Anolis sagrei: one gene and its partners. The protein of the gene in region 2 interacts with the protein of the main gene of each other region in a pairwise test. Links are inferred from orthologs where the notes say so. Each region holds a gene or a part of one and is shown on either strand. Other genes may lie near its edges.

Region 1 (7,169 bases), on a different chromosome or scaffold from region 2:
GTTAGCAGGGACCAAAGGGTTCAAGAATAATAAATAAAACTGTGTAATCTAAAAATAAATTTTAATCAAAACTTTTAACATATTCATTAAACTTAATAGTAACATGAAATAAGAGTACTATTACAATATTTTAAAAAAGAACATTTTAAATAGAAAATTAAATTTAGTTTGCATCAATGTGATTTTTGAGCTTGCACCTTCCTTACAAATAGGGTACTCCTGGGGCTAATATTATTGCTCAAAACTACAACCACATCATTATTTACTTTCAATCGATTCCTGGACTTGTTTTTAATTACCAGCAAAGCAGAAAACCCTTGTTTGCATAAAGTTGTGGAGAAGAGCATAAGATAGTGCAAGGCAATTCCTTGAATTTTAGAATAAAAAAATCACTTTTTTGCACCAAAACTCCTCAAGAGAATCAGATTCAAACACGTCCTTGCAGTTTCTATCATTTTGAAATTCAATGAGCTCTTCCTTGATTTCTTCTTAAGCCTCTCCATTTCAGTCACCATTAAATAAGTAAAAAATTAATATGAATATTGAGGGTTCACAGTCAGTAAAACTACTGGAGCCGTTGAATCACTAAACAGCAAAACAGAATCACTGACATAGTCGAGCAAGACAAAAGAATGTGTACGACTGACTGAACGATCACTTGCCCTCCACCCCAGACTCCTGACTGGCCTGATGTCCTACTCGCTGACGTTGCCCACCTAGCAACAAATTCATTAAAATGAATAAAGGTTTAAAATTTTAAATGTTTTGCGGATCATATTTTAGTTCTTGTGGACCACTGGTTGGGAACCATTGACAAAGACAGATGGACAGACAGACAGATATCTATACATCCATGTACTGGACTAGATAGCCCACAAAGTCTCTTCCAATTCTATGGTTATATAGATTAGACAGACAGACAGACAGACAGATAGATTACATAGTCAGTGGTTCTCAACCTGTGGATCCCCAGGTGTTTTGACCTACAACTCCCAAAAATCCCAGCCAGTTTACCAGCTGTTAGGATTTCTGGGAGTTGAAGGCCAAAACATCTGGGGACCCACAGGTTGAGAACCATGGACATAGATAGATATAGATAAATAGATACATTACATAGATAGATAGATAGATAGATAGATTGATGGATGGATGGATAGAGACAGATTACTATGATAGATTTTTTTTTCATGTCAGGGGCAACTTGAGAAACTGCAAGTTGCTTCTAGTGTGAGGGAATTGGCCGTTGGCAAGGACATTGCCTAGGGGACTCTCGGATGTTTTGATGCTTTATCATCCTTGTGGGAGGCATCTCTCATGTCTAAACATGGGGAGCTGGAACTGAGATGGGAGCTCACCCCATTCCCCAGATTCGAACTGCCAACCTGTCGGTCAGCAGTCCTGCCGACACAAGGATTTAACCCATTGTGCCACTGGGGGCTCCACACAAAGATAGATTACATAGATCTAACTATTTATATATATGTAATCTATCTGTGGTATATCTCAATGGTGGCCCCTCACCTGTGGAATTCTCTACCCAGTGACATTAGATTGCCCCCCTCCCTCTTGTAGTTTAAAATGAAACTCAAAACCTGGTTATGGGACCAAGCGTTCAAACAGTAGAGGAAGCAATTTAGAATGAGGCCCAATTTGTGTGAATGACAATGGACTGACCTGGACTATGATTTCAAACCTGTGTAATTTAAACAATGTTTTAGTAATTTTAAAGCATTAACTAATTGTTTTAGTTACTTTTATCATTTATAACTGTTGTTAGCATTGGTTGTGAAGCCAACCTGCGTCCCCCTCCAGGGGCAAGAAGGGCAGGATACAAATATGCAAAATAAATAAATGTGTAATCTATCTATTTACCTCTATCATCTATCTATCTATGTAATCTACCTCCTACAAAGATCGATTACATAGATAGATTACATAGATAAACTATATATAGATTACATATAGATAGATAGATTACATAGACAGATTACATAGATATCGATAGATTACCTATACCTACATAGATATTTATATAGATAGATTACACACACACACACACACACATATATATATTTCTCTCTCTCTCTCTCTCTCTATATATATATATATATACTAGCCGTCCCCTGCCACGCGTTGCTGTGGCCCACATGGGGGTTCTGTGTGGGAGGTTTGGCCCAATTCTATCATTGGTTGGGTTCAGAATGCTCTGTGATTGTAGGTGAACTATAAATCCCAGGAACTACAACTCCCAAATGTCAATGTCTATCTTCCCCAAACTCCACCAGTGTTCACATTTGGACATATTGAGTATTTGTGTAGTTTGTTCCAGATCCATCATTGTTTGAGTCCACAGTGCTCTCTGGATGTAGGTGAACTACAACTCCAAAACCAAAGGACACTGCCCACCAGTATTTTCTGTTGGTCATGGGAGAATTGTGTGCCAAGTTTGGTTCAATTCCATCGTTAGTGGGGTTCAGAAGGCTCTGTGATTGTAGGTGAACTATAAATCCCAGCAACTAAAACTCCCAAATGACAAAATCAATTTTTTTAGTGAAGGACATACATTGTGTTGTTAGGTGTCTTGTGTCCAAAATTGGTGTCAGTGGTTTTTGAGTTCTGTTAATCCCACAAACGAACATTACATTTTTATTTATATAGAAGATAATCTATCTATCTATCTATCTATCTAGATAGAGGATTCGAAAATGCGGGGAAAGAGACAAGTTAGATAAAACAGGCAGTGAAGCAGATCCGGGGCGGGCCTCCTTCCCCATTCTCAGGCCTCGGGGCCTCTAGATTTCCTTTTTATACCCTCCAGCGAGGAATAATAACAATAATAACAATAACAATAATAATAATAACAACGATGATGATGATGCCATGGGACTCACTGCGGAGGTCGCGGAAAGACATGGTCCCTGTAAGGGCGCCAACTGGGTCTCTGTGTCTGTTCGTTTCTCTCTCTCCCTCGGCCAGGCTTCCCCGCGTCGCTTTCCAGGACTAGGCCGCGTCGCTATGGCAACGTCGCAACGGCGAGGCGCCGGGCTCAAACTTCGGCGGAAAGCGGTGCTTTGCAATGCCAGGGCCTGAAAGCAAGGACATTTTTAACACAGGCTGGACAAACCCAAGACTGGAAAGGAAAGGCCTGCCTGGTGTTAAAAGGGATAAAAAGGCCAGTGTTTAAAATGGGTTGTTATGTACATTTAAATATAATGATAATAATGGATATATAATACAGTGATAATAATATATTATCTGTATATTGTAATCTGTAATTGGTTAAATGGACGAACCCAGAGGGTGATTCTCCCCAATGCTTCCTCTTCATCCTGGAAAGAAGTGACAAGCGGAGTGCCATAAGCAGGGTTCCATCCTGGGCCCGGTCCTGTTCAACATCTTTATTAATGACTTAGATGAAGGGCTAGAAGGCAGGATCATCAAGTTTGCAGACGACACCAAATTGGGAGGGAGAGCCAATACTCCGGAGGACAGGAGCAGGATTCAAAGGGATCTTGACAGATTAGAGATGGGCCAAAACTCACAAAATGAAGTTCAACAGTGACAAATGCAAGATACTCCATTTTGGCAGGAAAAACGAAATGCAAAGATACAGAATGGGGGACAATGCCTGGCTCGAGAGCAGTACGTGTGAAAAAGATCTTGGAGTCCTCGTGGACAGGAAGTTAAACATGAGCCAACAATGTGATGTGGCGGCAAAAAAAGCCAATGGGATTTTGGCCCGCATCAATAGGAGCATAGTGTCTAGATCTAGGGAAGTAATGCTACCCCTCTATTCTGCTTTGGTTAGACCACACCTGGAATATTGTGTCCAATTCTGGGCACCACAATTCAAGAGAGATATTGACAAGCTGGAATGTGTCCAGAGGAGAGCAACTAAAATGATAAAGGGTCTGGAGAAGAAGCCCTATGAGCAGCGGCTTAAGGAGCTGGGCATGTTTAGCCTGAAGAAGAGAAGGCTGAGAGGGGATATGATAGCCATGTATAAATATGTGAGAGGAAGCCACAGGGAGGAGGGAGCAAGCTTGTTTTCTGCTTCCCTGGAGACTAGAACGCGGAACAATGGCTTCAAACTACAAGAGAGGAGATTCCATCTGAACATGAGGAAAAACTTCCTGACTCTGAGAGCCATTCAGCAGTGGAACTCTCTGCCCCGGAGTGTGGTGGAGGCTCCTTCTTTGGAAGCTTTTAAACAGAGGCTGGATGGCCATCTGTCAGGGGTGATTTGAATGCAATATTCCTGCTTCTTGGCATTTGCAGGGCCACCCGTCCTTTGCCTCAGTCACTGGGACAGTACAATGCCACCCATCACCTGGCATGACTATCTGTACACAGGGAGGTCATGCTCCACTGTCCAACAATTTATTTATTTATTTATTTATTTATTTGCAACATTTCTACCCGGCTCTTCTCAACCCCTGGGGACTCAGAGCGGCTTACACTGGCAACAATTTGATGCCGCAAATATAACAAATTACAGCAATATAAAACAATAAATAGAACAATAGATTAAAAACAATTAAATATTATTATCACAGTCATATAGTCATTTCCATTATTATCACAGTCATATAGTCCAGTTCGATGTCCAAAGTGCTATCATGCCTGCTGGACAAAGGCCTGGTTCCAAAACCATGATTTCAGTTTTTTCCTAAAGGAAAGGAGGGAAGAAGCCAAACTGGTTTTGCTGGGGAGTGAATTCCACAAGTGGGGGGTCACTACTGAGAAGGCCCTGTCCCTCGTCCCCACCAGACGCATTTGTGAAGCTGGTGGGACCAAGAGCAGGGCTTCGCCGGTTGATCTTGAACTACAAGGTGGAACGTCGAAGGAGATACGTTCGGACAAGTAAGCTGGGCCGGAGTCGTATAGGGTTTTATAGGCCAAGACCAGCATATACAATAACAATAACATTTCCCCTTTCCCAGGAACAAACTGCTTAATCCTGTCAACATGGACAATATCTATGCTTTTGACTCAATGGACAGCAGGGCCAAAGGTGCTGGACTTATTCGCTGGGGACTCATATCACAATTATCTTTATAATAAAACACATGGGACCTGATGACCCCCTTTGTTTGTCCCATTAAGACCTCTTCACACTTCCTTTGTCTCCCAGACAACCCTGCCCCCCATCAGCCATTGGAGAGCGGGAATCTGAAGACTACTCGGAAGCTTAAGCTAGTCCAATGCTCGGCAGGCAGGCTGCTCACAGGAGCAGGGTACAGGGAATGTACAACTCCCCTGTTAAGCCAGCTCCACTGGCTGCCTATTAGATTCTGAGCACAATTCACAGTGCTGGCCTTGACCTATAAAACCCTAAACGGCTCTGGTCCAGCTTACCTGTCCAAATGTATCTCTCTCTACGAACCCCCAAGGACCTTAAGATCGTCTGGAGAGACCATGCTCTCAGTCCCACCACCATCTCAATCACGGTTGGTGGGAACGAGAGACAGGGCCTTCTCAGTGGTGGCTCCTTGGCTGTGGAACTCCCTCCCGAATGAGATTAGATCTGCCCCCTCCCTCATGGCCTTCCGGAAAAAGCTAAAAAACCTGGTTATGGGATCAAGCATTCCCTAGATAGAGGGTTTTAATGGACTGGTTTTGCGGATGGCAATGGACTGAAGATGATTTTAATTGACTATTGAACGAATGGCTGTGGATTATTCGGAGGATGATATGAAATGGCAACATGTTTTTTATGTATTTATAACTGTTTTTATTGGCGATTAAATGTATTTTATGTTGTGTATTGTTTGGCACCGAAGGGTGCCTGTTAGCAGCCTGAATCTCTCCTTGGAGATGAGAAGGACGGGATAGAAATTATCTAAATAAATGGAGCCCCCGGTGGCACAGTGGGTTAAACCCCTGTGCCAGCAGGACTGAAGACCGACAGGTCATAGGTTCAAATCTGGGGAGAGTGCGGATGAGCTCCCTCTATCAGCTCCAACTCCTCATGTGGGGACACAAGAGAAGCCTCCCACTAGGATGATAAAGGATCAAAACATCCAGGCATCCCCTGGGCAACGTCCTTGCAGACAGCCAGTTCTCTCACACCAGAAGCGACTTGTAGTTTCTCAAGTCACTCCTGACACGACAATATATATATATATGAAGCAGGGAACAAAATCCTATTGGCTACAAACCCGCCTCTGCAGGGAATCCTCCTTCAGCTGTTCATGACGTCGACAGAGCCTAGGTGGATTACCGCAAGCTGGCATCACTTCATCTGATTTTAATAAATTACCTCGGTGGCGGCTTCTTCAACTTGGTGAGATTTATTTGGGAACACTGGGTAGCTTCTATGTCTCACCAGGCACACAGATCCACGGGTGGCCTGCTGCCAATACCAGCATTCGCTTATTGGATCTCGGTATCCACCCTTCAGGTTTTGCTATCCAAGGCCCTGATCTTACTATCTGCGGTTGTCTTAAATTGCTCAATTTCACTTGTGTGCTGTGTTGCTATGTACATATAAATTTAATAATATATAATATAATAATATACAATGCAATAATAAATATATATAATAATTAATATAATATATAATAATATATTATATTATTGAAATGGCAAGGAATAGGTTTTGAGGAAAAGAGACAAAGAGAGGTCCGGAGGTTTGAAAGCATGGATTTTATTTACCAGCTGGGGCCTGGTGTGGAGTCAACTCCCAAAAAACACCAGAGCAACTGAAATAGGTGTGGACTGTGGCTTTTATAGTTTTCCAGGTTCAAGCAAACAAAGAACATGCTACAACATACAATCATCATCATCCCTACGTCATCTGAGCATCATAAGAATATCAGGTTCTAACTTCCACATGCAAAAAGGCATGTCTTGCTGCAGAGCAAGCATCTTACACTCATCCATCAAAGGGGCCCTCTCTGACCTGTCAAGAGGTGCTCCTTAGTACCAGCCCGTTGCTCCTTAGTATGGGCTTCTCGGACAGGCTTATCTCTCTTCTCTGGAATGTCACCCCTCCCTCTTCAGCCCCTTCTGAAGACAAGCAGTTTGCTTGTCCGTTAGCATTCTTTCTATACACAGAGGGAACTAGATTTTTCTATGCATTTCAGTGCTTATAAAGTACATATGATTTTATGCATAAATCAATAAATATCTATATTTCTAATATCTCCTCATCATTATAATAATGT
Region 2 (7,893 bases):
CTTGCTACAGAGATTTTCCAACTCACCTACATTTTAACTATTTTACTAAATAATGGTGTTCATTTTGTGGTTTTTTTTAAATGAGAGCTAAAAAGTGGCTTGGCCCAGATATATTTGGTACAAGTTCTGACTGTAAAAAGATACTTGAAAATATTACTGCTGGATCTTCTATTGATTTACACCAGGGCTTCTTAAACCTTTTCCACTCGTAACCTCGTTCCACCCGGGTGTATCGATATATGAAATAATAAAAAGTCAAACATTTACTGATAACAAATTGGCATTTGCAGGGCTTGTATTTAGGTGATTTTCCTTTTTACAAAATACAGTCAAAGCATATTTTGCCGAATCCACCGTAAACACTGCACACTGTTGCTAACAGATTTGAGTAAGTTCCTAAAACAGCCACCAGATTACTAAATTTATTGCGACCCCCATTTTCAGCTTACGGCGATTTTCATTGGGACCCACAGTTTTAAAGAAGCCATGATCTACAGAACATTTGCTTGCTTATTTTGTAAACTCTTCTACCAGGACTTTTCTTCTCTTTTTTTGTACTTTGTTTATTTTGTACTTTTTTCCCAGGGCAAAAGTCAAGGTTGCAGACATCAAGTGCACCAAAAATGTATCTCATGCAGAAGTTTTTCAGAAATTAAATAAACAAGGCAATTATTTGATACCAAGTTACAACAGATTTGTCCTTTTGATCTGTTTGCCTTGATTTTAACTTTAAGATTGTAAGTGTGATTGATACTATGTATATTATTTTTATCTTGTATGCTGTCCTGAGTCCCCTCACATAGACAATTACAACAGAAAGGAGGAAACCATGAAAATAAACAAAATCTGCTACCAGTATTTTTTTAAAAAAACCTCTAAAATCAGGACATTAAATAAAGAACACTGAAAAATGGGAATTCCAGACAAGAAACAATCAGGGCCAGCTAATAACCTCCCAATAAAGAATACACCGTATTGTCGAAGGCTTTAATGGTCGGAATCACTGGGTTGTGTAGGTTTTTTTGGGCTATATGGCCATGTTCTAGAGGCATTATCTCCTGACGTTTCACTTGCATCTATGGCAGGCATCCTCAGAGGTAGTGAGGTCTGTTGGAGTTAGGAGAATGGGTTTATATATCTGTGGAATGACCAGGGTGGGACAAAGAACTCTTGTTTGCTGGAGCTAGGTGTGACTGTTTCAAATGACTACTTTGATTAGCATTGGATGGCCTGGCAGTGCCTGGGGCAATCTTTTGTTGAATGGTGATTAGATGTCCCTGATTGTTTTCCCTCTGTTGTTTTGCTGTTGTAATTTTGATAATGATGGTGATGAATTTGTGATTTTACCTTGACGATTTGGCTGCATGTCATTATTTGATCTGTACTGTAATGTATTTTAATGTATTATGATGTTATTATGTTTTAGCTTATTTCTGTATGAATTTTCTGTTGTTAGCCGGCCTGAGTCCCTCTTCGGAGGTTGAGAAGACCGGGTTATAAAAGCTCTAAATAAATAAATAAATTTAGAGGTTTTTTTTAATACTGGTAGCCAGGATTAGAGGCGGCCCTAGGTAATTTTCAAAGGTAAGCAAACAGTATTTTGCCCCCTCCCCAACCAATCACTGATATATATTTTCTGTTCGTCATGGGAGTTCTGTGATTCAGTTCCATCATTGGTGGAGTTCAGAATGCTCTTTGATTGTAGGTGAACTATTTTATTTATTTATTTGTCGTGTCAGGGCAACCAGTCAATTATATTACATTTCTAACAGAACAAAGCAAACAAACAGACAAAATACAACATTTGTGAATTTGGTAGTTGATTAAATGTCCTTTGACCAGTATCTAGCCACTTGGAGTGCTTCTGGTGTTGCTGCAAGGAGGTCCTCCCTTGTGCATGTGGCTGGGCTCAGGTTGCATTGCAGCAGGTGGTCAGTGGTTTGCTCCTCTCCACATTCGCATATCAAGGATTCCACTTTGTAGCCCCATTTCTGAAGGTTGGCTCTGCATCTTGTGGTGCCAGAACGCAGTCTGTTCAGCGCCTTCCAAGTCGCCCAGTCCTCTATGTGCCCAGGGGGGAGTTTCTCATTTGGTATCAGCCATTGGCTGAGGTTCTGGGTTTGAGCCTGCCACTTTTGGACTCTTGCTTGCTGAGGTGTTCTGGCGAGTGTCTCTGTAGATCTTAGAAAACTATTTCTAGAATTAAGTCGTTGACGTGCTGGCTGATACCCAAACAGGGGATGAGCTGGAGATGTCTCAGGTGAACTATACATCCCAGTAACTACAACTCGCATATGTCAACGTCTATTTTCCCCCAAGAGTGCCTCAAGAGCGCCCCTGGGCAAAATCAACTATACTGCAAATGCTTACTTTGCGTAATGGGTTGAGCCGCCCCTGGCCAGGATACACCCCAGGCAGCAACCAGCCAGATCTTGAAACTGCAAGGCTATTAAATGCTAATCAAGGTGGCCAATTGCAACATTCACACCTGCCTCAAACGGACAAGAGTTCTTTCTTCCACCTTGAACATTTCACAAATATATAAACCCATTTTTCCTAGTTTCCAAGAGACCTCACAATTTATTTATTTTATTTATTTTATTTGCTTTATTTCTATACCGCATTTTTCAGCCCAAACATCCTCACAACCTCTGAGGATGCCTGCCATAGATGCAGGCGAAACGTCAGGAGAGAATGCTTCCAGGCTTCCATAGAGCCTGGAAAACTTAAAGCAACCCAGTGATGAAAGCTTTCGACAATACAAAGAATAGCATTACTAGGCCTGGTCCAAGTTGGGCCCTCCAGGTGTTTTGGACTTTAACTCCCACAATTCCTAACAGCCTACGGCTGTTAGGAATTGTGGGAGTTGAAGTCCAAAACACCTGGAGGGCCCAAGTTGGACCAGGCCTGGCTGACACTAATAATGCAGCGCATTGTGAGTCTACACTAATGCAGTGAGTCTCACAGTGCAGCTGCGGCCTAGCGTTGGGCCTTGTCTCTCATCCCCGGGCACGCTTACCGGCCATCCCCGCCGCTGCCGGAGGAGGAGGAGGGAGCGAGGCCCAGCCTCTCGCCTCAAGCTCCGCCCCAGCCTCCGCCTCCTTCTCCCGGGGGCCTCCAAGGCCTGGCTGGGTCTCCCTTCAGCCTCCCGCCATGAGGGGCCCCGCCGAGCCCTACTGAGCTGAGAGGGTGAGTGAGGGCAGCGCTTGCGGCCTAGTCGTCGGTTGAGCGGGCAAGGGGAGGTGGGTTGGGTTGGGTTGGGGGAGTCCCCTGTGGTCTCCATGGAAATGCGTTGCTGGGGATGATAGGTAAAGGCAGCTCCCACTTGGGCAGGCTCTGCTACTCCCTCCTGCCTTTGCAGTTGAAGTATATTATCATTGGGTTGTTGTAGGTTTTTCCGGGCTATATAGCCATGTTCTAGAGGCATTTTCTCCTGACGTTTCGCCTGCATCTATGGCAAGCATCCTCAGAGGTAGTGAGGTTTGTTGGAGTTAGGAAAATGGGTTCATATATATCTGTGGAATGACTGGGGAAGAGCTCTTTGCCCCACCCCAGTCATTCCACAGATATATAAACCCATTTTCCTAACTCCAACAGACCTCATCACCTCTGAGGATGCTTGTCATAGATGCAGGCAAAACGTCAGGAGAAAACACCTCTAGAACATGGCCATATAGCCCAAAAAAACCCACAAGAACCTAGTGATTCCAGCCATGAAAGTCTTCGACAATATATTATGATTATTATCAGAGGCAGAACTTTCAAAAGGATGGGAGCCTTCTGAAGGGGAAGCACTGACATGGCTAAACAGTTTTCCAGCAAAGGGCGACTAAAATGATCAAGGGTCTGGAGAACAAGCCCTATGAGGAGCGGCTTAAGGAGCTGGGCATGTTTAGCCTGAAGAAGAGAAGGCTGAGAGTGGATATGATAGCCATGTATAAATATGTGAGAGGAAGCCACCGGGAGGAGGGAGCAAGCTTGTTTTCTCCTTCCCTGGAGACTAGGACGCGGAACAATGGCTTCAAACTACAAGAAAGGACATTCCATCTGAACATGAGGAAGAACTTCCTGACTGAGAGCTGTTCAGCAGTGGAACTCTCTGCCCCGGAGTGTGGTGGAGGCTCCTTCTTTGGAAGCTTTTAAACAGAGGCTGGATGGTCATCTGTCAGGGGTGATTTGAATGCAATATTCCTGCTTCTTGGCAGGGGGTTGGACTGGATGGCCCATGAGGTCTCTTCCAACTCTTTGATTCTATGATTCTATAATGAGAAAGTGTTGGTTTCTAATATATGTAATTTCTTTATCCTTGTGGGTAAACAGTATTTGATTACGTTTTCTTGCCCTGGTGAAAGGAGTTGGACTGGATGGCCTTAAGTATTTTCTATTGGCTATAGGGGTTCTGTGTGGGAAGTTTGCCTCAATTCTGTCTTTCGTGGGGTTCAGAATGCTCTTTGATTATAGGTGAACTATAAATCCCAGTAACTACAACTCCCAAATGTCAAGGTCTATTTCTCCCAATTGGGTTGTTATGTGTCTTGTGTCCAAATTTGGTGTCAATTCGTCCAGTGTTTTTTGAGTTCTGTTAATCCCACAAACGAACATTACATTTTTATTTATATAGACTAGAATGAGATAATTGGAAGAGACTGCAAAGGGACACATTAATAAAAGTGGTCCCAGTGGTGATCAGCACACTGAGTGCAGTGTCTAAAGACCTTGGCCTGCACTTAAAAACAATTGGCGCTGAGCAAATTACCATCTGTCAGCTGCAAAAAGCCACCCTACTGTGATCTTCACGCATTATTCGCTGATACATCACACAGTCTTAGACATGGAAGCCCACCTTGGACAAGTCATACTCTTTCAGGGTGCATCTACACTGTAGAACCAATGCAGTTTGATACCATTTTAACTGTCGCGTCTCAGAGTTATGGAATCCTGGGAGTTGTGGTGTGGTGAAGCACCAGCACTTTTTGGCAAAGAAGGCCTTACGGATTAGAATGACAACTGCTAGAATTCCATAGCATTGAACCACGGCATTTAAAGTGGCAGTAATTACACAGTTGTTGTGCAATTAATGTAGATGCAGCATCAGAAGAAGGCAAGCCAACCCTCTGAACAAATCTTGCCCAGAAACCGCTTTGATTGTGTCACCATAAATTGGAAGCAACTTGATGGCATAGAACAACAAAATGAGATATAACCCAAAAACATTGTAAGCCCGGCTTACACATATTATATCAATATAAACATATGGCTAAAAGTATGGTAGTTTACTTTTGAAGCTTCTAATGTGAATGTCCTCCAGTTAGAGCTGTTGTTATTACCCAATTACAGTCATCCTTCAAATCAGGTGGCGTCATCTTCACATGTCAGAAGCAACCACAGTTGCTTTCATTGTTGCTGGTGTTTTGTAGTTGCTGATTTTGTTAATATTTCTGGTAGTTTAGCTACAATATTTCTGGTAGTTTAGCTACTATTGTCTGGTTGCTCCTGACACGATATATAAATAAGCTACAATATTGCGGTGCGGTATGATAGGGTTCCATAGGGGTGACACTATGAATTACCATACTGGATGACATCAACATAGTGGCATTACCATGGGAAAGGTAGCTTTCATGTCGTTTCTCCTTTTTCTCCCCATTTCCAGCTTCCCAAATAAAGGAAAAGTCAAATCAGTTCAGCAGCCACAGCCACAGCTCTTTGGGATTTCTAGAGGGGTTTTTTAAAGAAAGTAATAAAACCCTGTACATACTTAAGAAAGCTCTGATGTATTGCTTCTTATTTTTTTCATGGCAACCAACATTGAGAACACATTTTGGGGTGGGCTTCTAACAAACCTCAGTTAAACCTGGGGTTTATTTCTTACCTCTTTGATTATTGCTTGTAAATTCTTCATTCTGTGGACCACTCAGAAAATAAAGGTTCAGTATCACTTATCCCTTGTGCTTGGATTTCTGATTTATTTTTAGATTTTGTTACATATGTTGTGCATGAAGTAAAATGTGTGTGTACATTGAACAATCAGAAAGCAAGGATCACTTTCTCAGCCTCACATGTAGACAATTTTTGATTTTAATTTCTGGATAAGGGATACTCAACCAGTACAAGTTGGTTGGGAATTCACGTTTAATGTCAGAATCACAGATTTCCATATGTAGAAAGTGTGAATGTGAGATATTTATGGTTTGTTCTCTCACCTCCTCAACTTAAGAGTACTCTATATATGTTTTGCTTCAGTAGAAATAAAAGGCATTGCTGATGGAGACTATAGGAATCCAGTTTGGAATCAGAAGTTGTGGTGGCATCTCCTATTAGCTGTAGACATCAGTTGCCTTATAGGTTTCTGTAGTTTAGTGCTTCCTTCTGCAACATGCATATTCGGTTCTACTCTGGAAGACCTCCTGATGTGGTATGAATATTTTATGCATTTTTTGAGTCAGGTGAATCTGAGAGTGAGAGCCTCTCCTTTGTTTTTTTTTTAAAGAGCATAACCATGTAAAAGTGGCAATAGTTAATGTTGACTTTTAGAGAGTGCTTCTCCATTTAAGTCCTCCCCTGTTGCTTTTAGGGAAGGAAATATCTGCAATTTCCTAATGTACCGCTAGACAGATATAAAAAGGTAAAGGTTTTCCCACAACATTAAGTCAACATTAACTTTGAGGTGGTGATGTTCACCTCAATTCCTAAGCTGAACAGCCGGCGTTGTTCATAGTTGCCTTCTAGGTCATGTGGCCGGCATGACTGCATGGAGTGCCGTTACCTTCCCACTGTAGCGGTACCTATTGATGTCACATTTGCATGTTTTTGAACTGCTAGGTTGGCAGAAGCTGGGGCTAACAGCGAGAGCTCACCCCGTCCCACAGATCCAAATCGCCTTCCAGACAGCAAGTTCTGCAGCTTAGTGATTTAACCCACTGCACCACCACAGCCCCTTCAGATAGATATATCCTGCTTTAAAGTTGGAAATTGGATGAACCTCTGGCTTCTTTATAGCCATTTTTTGTGTGTCAGGAGCGACTTGAGAAACTGTGAGAGAATTGGCTGTCTGCAAGGACATTGCCTAGGGGATTCCCAAATGATTTGATGTTTTTACCATCCTTGTGGGTGGGTTCTCTCATGTCCCTGAATGGGGAGCTGGAGCTAACAGAGGAAGCTTATCCGCACTCTCCCCGGATTTGAACCTTCGACCTGTGTGGCTTCAGTCCTGCCGGCACAAGGGTTTAACCCATTGCGAAACCAGGGGCTCCATTTCCATATAGCCATAAAATGCTGTGATACAAGACTAGTTGAGTGAGTGCTTCCGCTCTGGCATATGAATAATATGCATTCTGGGGAAGAAAGCGCATACATTTAGCTCGTAAGTGTCATTGTGACTCTATATATGTTTGTTTTGAAGAAGAGGGACAAGGAAGCTTCCTAACAGTTTAATAATCATAACTCGCTGTCCTCATTTAAATAAGTATTCCAGCTATATACATAATGATCATTCTTAATATTCATTTAAAACTTTCACATTGTAAATGTACATCACATACATTATTTTGTAATCCTTGCATTGAAATTACTTAATTGTGCTGTCTTGTCAGTTGTTATGAAGGAACTCCATTAATTAATTGCAGTAGATGCATAGTGGTTGACCTAATCTGTTTGATATTTTTTTTACGTCAGCTTAAGCCAAAGCTGCTTAAATGGGGGTGAGTGGGTAAAAACTCTTTAAAAGTGTTCTAATCATGAATTTTAGTGGTTGCAATCTTAGTTACGCAAGTTGTCTGTCACATGAGAACAGGGCATTGAAACAGATTAGGCAGGACATTCGTTGTGATGCTTCCCCGATTGTGATCCCAGATGTTTACCAGGTAAATGTTAGTCCATCTGTTACATTTGTGC
Region 3 (6,944 bases), on a different chromosome or scaffold from region 2:
ATTTTTACTCAGGAGCAGTTTTCTGCACAAAAAACAGGCAGCAAGAGAAAGACAAGAAAGTGAAGATATATACATAGAAACCTATAAGGTCTTTTAGATCTTGATTAAAATTGCATGAGCAATAACAGAGGAGAAAGGCAAGATCTACATAATGGTGTCTATAACAGGTTAGATGAAGTATGACCTTGGGATACAGCTTGTAAGTGTGGATATAAGAGTGGATGCACCTTTTAAGGTTGTTTTTTAGCTGTTTAGCCCTCCAGACTTCTTGTACCATCCTTGAAAAAGAATTGCAGTTCAGCTTTTAAATACTGTAGATTGCACGAAGCCCGATGCAGTTGTGCATTAAAAGTTAAATTAAAACATTAAAAAGGTTTACAGGTATCCCCTACCATAAGCATGTATGCCCATGCGGTATGGAGAGAGTAGAAACTACCAGGCATGCCCTTTTAGAATGTCACATCTATTAGGATACTTTATCTGTTTTTATTACTCCCATTGTATAAAAGATCCCTGGCAGAAATGAACTTGTGTGATTTTAAATGAATGTCTTAATAATTAATGTTTTAATGAACTGTTTTATTTGTAATTATTATTTATCATTTGTATGTTGGCATCAAATAGATGCCTGTTGGGAAGTTGCACTGAATCCTCCCCCCCCCCCCGGGGGGGGGGCACGAGAAGGACAAGATACAAATATGTGAAATAAAAAAAATAAATATTATCTAAAACTTCTTATAGTGATCCATTGATCATTTATAGAGTGGCTATGTTTTGTGTGTCAGCTATAAAAATAAGGAAGCAGTTTGTGGACGATTTTGGCAGGTAAAGTTTTAACTTACTCGTTTTATTATCCACTAGCCATCCCCTGCCATGCCTTGCTGTGGCCCAGTCTAGTGATCTAAAAAATAAAGTCATGAGAAAGTGTTGGTTTCTAATATGTGTAATTTCTTTATGCTTGTGTGTAAACAGTATTTGATTATGTTTTCTTGCCCTGGTGAAGGGAGTTGGACTGGATTGCCTTAAGTATATTCTATTGGTCATAGGGGTTCTGTGTGGGAAATTTGCCCCAGTTCTATCGTTCGTGGGGTTCAGAAAGCTCTTTGATTGTAGGTGAACTATAAATCTCAGTAAATACAACTCCCAAATGTCAAGATCTATTTCCCCCAAACTCCATCTGTGTTCATATTGGGGCATATGGAATATTCATGCCAAGTTTGGTCCAGAACCATCATTGTTTGAGTCCACAGTGCTCTCTGGATGTAGGTGAACTACAACTCCAAAACTCAAGGCCAATGCTCAACAACTCCTTCCAGTATTTTCTGGTGGTCATGGGAGTTCTGTGTGCCAAGGTTGGTCCAATTCCATCTTTGGTGCTCAGAATGCTCTTTGATTGTAGGTGAACTATAAATCCCAGCAACTACAACTCCTGAATGACAAACTCAAATTTTTGAGTGATGATCACGCCTTGGGTTAGTAGGTGTCTTGTGTCCAAATTTGGTGTCAATTTGTCAAGTGGTTTTTGAGTTATGTTAATCCCACAAACGAACATTACATTTTTATTTATATAGATACTCAGTGTCATATATGAAGCCAAGCACACGATCGACTCCATATCATGGACATTCTTCTTTTAATGTTGTGAACTTCGGGTCTTAATGTTAACAGTTTTTTTTTTTAAAAAAAACTTCTTGTTTTTAATGTTTTAAAGTTTTACACTCTTGGTCTGTAATAAAATTCATTCATTAATCCTTAAAAAGGAATTGGAGTTTACCTTTTAAATACTGTATATTGCAGGAAGCCCAATACAGTTGCGCTTTCAAAACTAGAAATATATTTGTGATAATTTCCATGATTGGGGAGTTTGGCTTTGACAGCCCATGTGGCTCATAGAAGGTCACAGGGGTAGAAAATACTTGTCCTGCTTGGATAGCTTCACATATAAATGAACCTCAAGGTGTTGTTGGCTTATGGAATACAGTATCCTCAGAGATCCTGGAATTGTAAATGTAGAACTACCAGAGGGCATGGTAATACTTTTGCAACCTCTGTCCTAAATATTGTCGACATAAGGTGTAAAGATGTTTGAACCACATAGCTCAATTTCTGTTGAAGAAGCCATTAGAAAAGGTCCTCTAGATGTTATTGACCTGCATTGCCAAAAATGAAGAATGATGTAGTCCAGCGAAAACTAGCAGGCCTATCCTTGTTCTCCTGTACTGCCACCCCAATCTTATAACAGCCAGAGGGAATAATATAATGCACAACTCAGCTAGATAACTTATCTAAAGAGGCAAGACTGACTGCTGCTCCATGTTTGGTCATTAAGTTAGGCACCTTACAACACCAAGTAGAAGAATACGCTGCCATGCCTCCCCGTATCTTCTGACCCAAAGTTGCAATCCTCTTATCTTTGTAAAACCACAAAGGGTAATTTCCAGATAAACATTGTGAAACACATATTAAGAATCTCTATGTTGGAGTGGTTGAAGAGTAAGTAACTCTGCAGTACTTGGAACATGGTTCAGAAATAAGTCCCAATGTGTTCAATATTCCTAAAGAAGTGGTCAGAAGATTACACTCTTTGTGCATTTCAGTTGGCCAAGCTGGTTGGGGTTTCTGGGAGCTGAAATCCACAAACCTGTAGGACAAAAGGTTGGGAGGTTATGCACATTTATGCAAAAGCAGATGTTTTCCAGAAGGGACCACATAACTGATTTTGTTCTTATGCATTTGTGGCTGTGACTTAGACAAAACAAAACAAACGTCTTTCAGTACATATTAATACAGAAAAAACGAATGACATTATACTTATGATACTAATCTACACCAGGCATGGGCCAACTTCGGCCCTCCGGGTGTTTTGGACTTCAACTCCCATCATTACTAACATCCTCAGGCCCTTTCCTTTTCCCCCTCAGCCACTTGTGAAAAATACAACTCCCATCTTATTTATGTATTGTGTCAGGAGCAAACCAAACAGTTGTATTGGATTTTTTAAAAAAATCACAAAGTTTGCCAACTTGGCATTCTATTAAATGTCCTTTGATCACTTGGAGTGCCTCTGGTGTTGCTATCAGAAGGTCCTCCATTGTGCATGTGGCAGGGCTTAGGTTGCATTGCAGTAGGTGGTCTGTGGTTTGCTCTTCACACCCGCATGCCATGGATTCCACTTTGTGGCCCCATTTCTTAAGGTTGGCTCTGCATCCTATGGTGCCAGAGCGCAGTCTGTTCAGCGCCTTCCAAATCGCCCAGTCTACTGTGTGCCCAGGGGGGAGTCTCTCATTTGACATCAGCCATGGATTGAGGTTCTGGACTCAACTCCCATGATTTCATAACATTGAACCAAGGCATTTAAAGTGGCTGCCAAACTAGATTGACTTGACTTAGGCGATCCCTCGTTGGACGAGTAAGATGATTTTCTATGATGGGTTTCCTTGTGGATTCGTAGGTGGCTGTGGAGCCCTATTCTTGACCCGCATCTTCTCCCACAGTGAAGGCATTGGTTTCCAGGTGGAAGATGGTCCCAGTCGTGGTTGGCTTGACGCGCCTTCCTCCTGGCACGTTTCACTCTTTCACCCTCCACTTGTGCCTCCTCCAATTCTGCAGCACTGCTGGTCACAGCTGACCTCCAGCTGGAGCGCTCAAGGGCCAGGGCTTCCCAGTTCTCAGTGTCTATGCCAAACTAGATTATTTCTATAGTGTGGGTGGGAAGAGGCGAGATTAAAAAACACATCCACCTGCCCCCCTACCCCCTCACACTTTGTGCTTGCAAGGATCCTTGGCGTTTAGTCACGAATCCTAAAGACAGGGAAAAGAAATCCCTCCCGTCCAATGGGTGAGCTCCTTCCATTTCGCGCGTCACCTTTTCTTTGCACGTCCCTCCCCCAATAGACCGGATGGGACGTCATTGGGAGAGAGCTGGCTTCCTATTGGTTGACAGAGACCGGGGAAGCGATGCCGGGCAGATGCTGCTGCCCTTCTTGCAGAGCCTCCTCTCCTGACGCGGGAAAACCAAGGTAAGTCCAGAGAGAGTGCAGGGAGGTCGTGGGGGAGCATCTGCACCCTAGAATGAGTGCGACTTGGCACCGTTTGAGCTGCTATTACTCACACCTATGGAATCATGGGAGTTGTAGACCTTGTGGAGCTACAATTCCCATGATCCCATAGCACGGAGACACAGCAGTTAGAAGTGGTGCCAAACTGGATTAATTCTAAAGTGTGTATCCATTGTGACGATTTGGATATCAGTCTGTTTTAAAGAGGTTTGTAGTGGTGATACTTCTGCTAAACTTCCAGAAATGTCATTCTTCTTGTGGGTTATCCAGATTGTTACTAAATATCACTAAAGTCAGATCTTGATTTACAGGCATGATATTCTCCTTGTTCCTGCGGCTTGTCCAAATCATTAGACCAGTGGTTCTCAACCTTCCTAATGCCGCGACCCCTTAATACAATTCCTCATGTTGTGGTGACCCCCAACCACAAAATTATTTTTGTTGCTACTTCATAACTGTAATTTTGCTAGTGTTTTGAATCGTAATGTACATATCTGATATTCAGGATGTATTTTCATTCACTGGACCAAATTTGGCACAAATATGGCCAAATTTGAATACTGGTGAGGTAGGGGGCAGGATTGATTTTGTCATTTGGGAATTTTAGTTCCTGGGATTTATAGTTAATCTACAATCAGAGAGCATTCTGAACTCCACCAGCGAGAGTATTGGGCCAAACTTCCCACACAGAACCCCCACGACCAAGAGAAAATACTGGAAGGGTTTGATGGGCATTGACCTTGAGTTTTGGAGTTGTAGTTCAAAAGTGCAAAAGCTGGATTGCAGTTAAACATAAATTCAACCAGAATTATGGCAACCAGACAGATTGATAACTGGCAAATAGAGGGAGAAAACGTGGAGGCTGTGACAGACTTTGTATTTCAAGGTGCAAAGATTACTGCAGAAATCAGAAGACGTTTACTTCTTGGGAGGAGAGCAATGACCAATCTTGATAAAATAGTGAAGAGTAGAGACATCACACTGGCAATGAAGATCCACATACTTAAAACAATGGTATTCCCTGTAGTCACCTACGGATGTGAGAGCTGGGCCATAGGTAAGGCTGAGCAAAGGAAGATAGATGCTTTTGAACTGTGGCGCTGGAGGAAAATTCAGAGAGTGCCTTGGACCACAAGAATATCCAACCAGTCCATATTTCAGGAAACAAAGCCCGACTGCTCATTGGAAGGAAGGATATTAGAGACAAAGTTGAAGTACTTTGGCCACATCATGAGAAGAAAGGAAATCTTAGAGAAGACAATGATGCTGGAGAAAATGGAAGGCAAAAGGAAGAGGGGCCGACCAAGGGCAAGATGGATGGATGGCATCCTTGAAGTGACTGGCTTGACCTTGAAGGAGCTGGGGGTGGTAACGGCCGACAGGGAGCTCTGGCGTGGGCTGGTGCATGAGTCGGAAGCGACTGAACGAATGAACAACAAGTTCACCTGCATCCAGAGAGCACTGTGGACTCAAACAATGATGGACCTGGACCAGTCTTGGGACGAATACTCAATATGCCCAAATGGTGGAGTTTGGGGAAAATAGACCTTGACATTTGGGAGTTGTAGTTGCTGGGCTTTATAGCTCATCTACAATGAAAGAGATTCTGAATCCCACCAACGAGAGAATTGGGCCAAACTTCCCACAGAGAACTCCCATGACGAACAGAAAATACTGTGTTTTCTTATGGTCTTTGGTGACCCCTCTGACACCCCCTGGTGACCCTCCAGTGTTCCCAACCCCTAGGTTGAGAAACGCTGCATTAGACCTTCCAGTAGGTTTGTTTAGGTCCCACTCATGAGCATTTGTGAGCAAGGCCTGATCATTTCCTTGAAAAGGTGATTACTGTTGGCTTTAATAACACATTGAAAAGTACTGAGGAAATAGAGGTCCCAGAACTGATTTTAAATAGGCAGCTTTAACCTTGTTTTGTGGTTTCTTTTTGCTAGGATAATTCCTGACACAGAATGTCAGTGAACCATTTATTTGGGAATAAGAAGAGAAACAGCTCTATATTATACGGTGTGGATCAGGCCAGAGTGACTGCTTCGACTTCATCCTTCCAGAGAACTGCAAGTAACACTGGAAACCATGGAGATGGATTTCCACCCAATAAGCGCTATAAAACCCTTGCCACAACTGGGCATAAAGAAATGGAAGATCCATTTCAGGACAGTGATGATTTCACTGCAGATGACTTGGAGGAAATTGATATTATTGCTTCCCAGGCAATGACACAAAACGTTTCTGTAAACACAAATGCATCAAGAGCAGAGCAAAATAGAGAACTGTCTTCACTGTCAAAAAGTACCACCAATGCAGCAGATCACATCAAGCAATGGAATTTCAACTTTGCAACTGAGACAAAATCTAAGCAAGTATTTGGTATGTGTATTCTCAGTGAGACTGGAGTCTGGAGCAATGAGGATTGATGATTTACACTGTTATTACTGTTTTTCTTTAAAAGATAGTAAACCTGTTGAGGTTGCCTTTTGGGCACAAACCCCTCTTTAGGCAGTGCGGATGCTAAAATAAAGCACTAGGGTTAATAAAAGCCCGTGACAACCATAAATTAGACATTACACCTGACAAAATGCTAAAATGAAATACAATTGTTATAAAAGAAATAGCACATAACAAGATAAGGCCAAGGAATACAAATGGTTCCTGAGAATTTTCTTGGAGATCATGAGTGATGGGGCTTAACATCATTAGTTGTTTTGCTGTTTGGTGTTTTCCAATGGTTTCCAACTTATAGGAGGCCCTATAATATGGTTTTCTTGGCAAAGTTTTTGTCAGAGTATGTCTGCTATTGCCTTCCTCTTAGGCTGAAATGAATACGACTTCACCAATATTATCCATTGGGTTTCTATGGCAGAGTGGGGA

Evidence for each region. The genes of interacting proteins can lie anywhere in the genome.
Region 1: the proteins of CINP (region 2) and CLUAP1 interact in binary tests that used the Homo sapiens proteins (3 or more experiments, as listed by UniProt). The two-hybrid records come from large-scale screens. The link is inferred for Anolis sagrei from reciprocal best matches to the Homo sapiens genes CINP and CLUAP1.
Region 3: the proteins of CINP (region 2) and ATRIP interact in binary tests that used the Homo sapiens proteins (3 or more experiments, as listed by UniProt). The link is inferred for Anolis sagrei from reciprocal best matches to the Homo sapiens genes CINP and ATRIP.

The regions. Positions count from the first base shown.
Region 1 is NC_090034.1:26,673,392-26,680,560, forward strand, and holds the start of CLUAP1 (clusterin-associated protein 1), read right to left. Parts: upstream 3,036-7,169; 5' UTR 2,914-3,035; coding exon 2,892-2,913; intron 1-2,891. UniProt on the Homo sapiens protein: Required for cilia biogenesis. Appears to function within the multiple intraflagellar transport complex B (IFT-B). Key regulator of hedgehog signaling.
Region 2 is NC_090021.1:323,897,708-323,905,600, forward strand, and holds the start of CINP (cyclin-dependent kinase 2-interacting protein), read right to left. Parts: upstream 3,087-7,893; 5' UTR 3,027-3,086; coding exon 3,020-3,026; intron 1-3,019. UniProt on the Homo sapiens protein: Component of the DNA replication complex, which interacts with two kinases, CDK2 and CDC7, thereby providing a functional and physical link between CDK2 and CDC7 during firing of the origins of replication.
Region 3 is NC_090022.1:67,075,625-67,082,568, forward strand, and holds the start of ATRIP (ATR-interacting protein), read left to right. Parts: upstream 1-3,909; 5' UTR 3,910-4,019; intron 4,020-6,007; 5' UTR 6,008-6,025; coding exon 6,026-6,443; intron 6,444-6,944. UniProt on the Homo sapiens protein: Required for checkpoint signaling after DNA damage. Required for ATR expression, possibly by stabilizing the protein.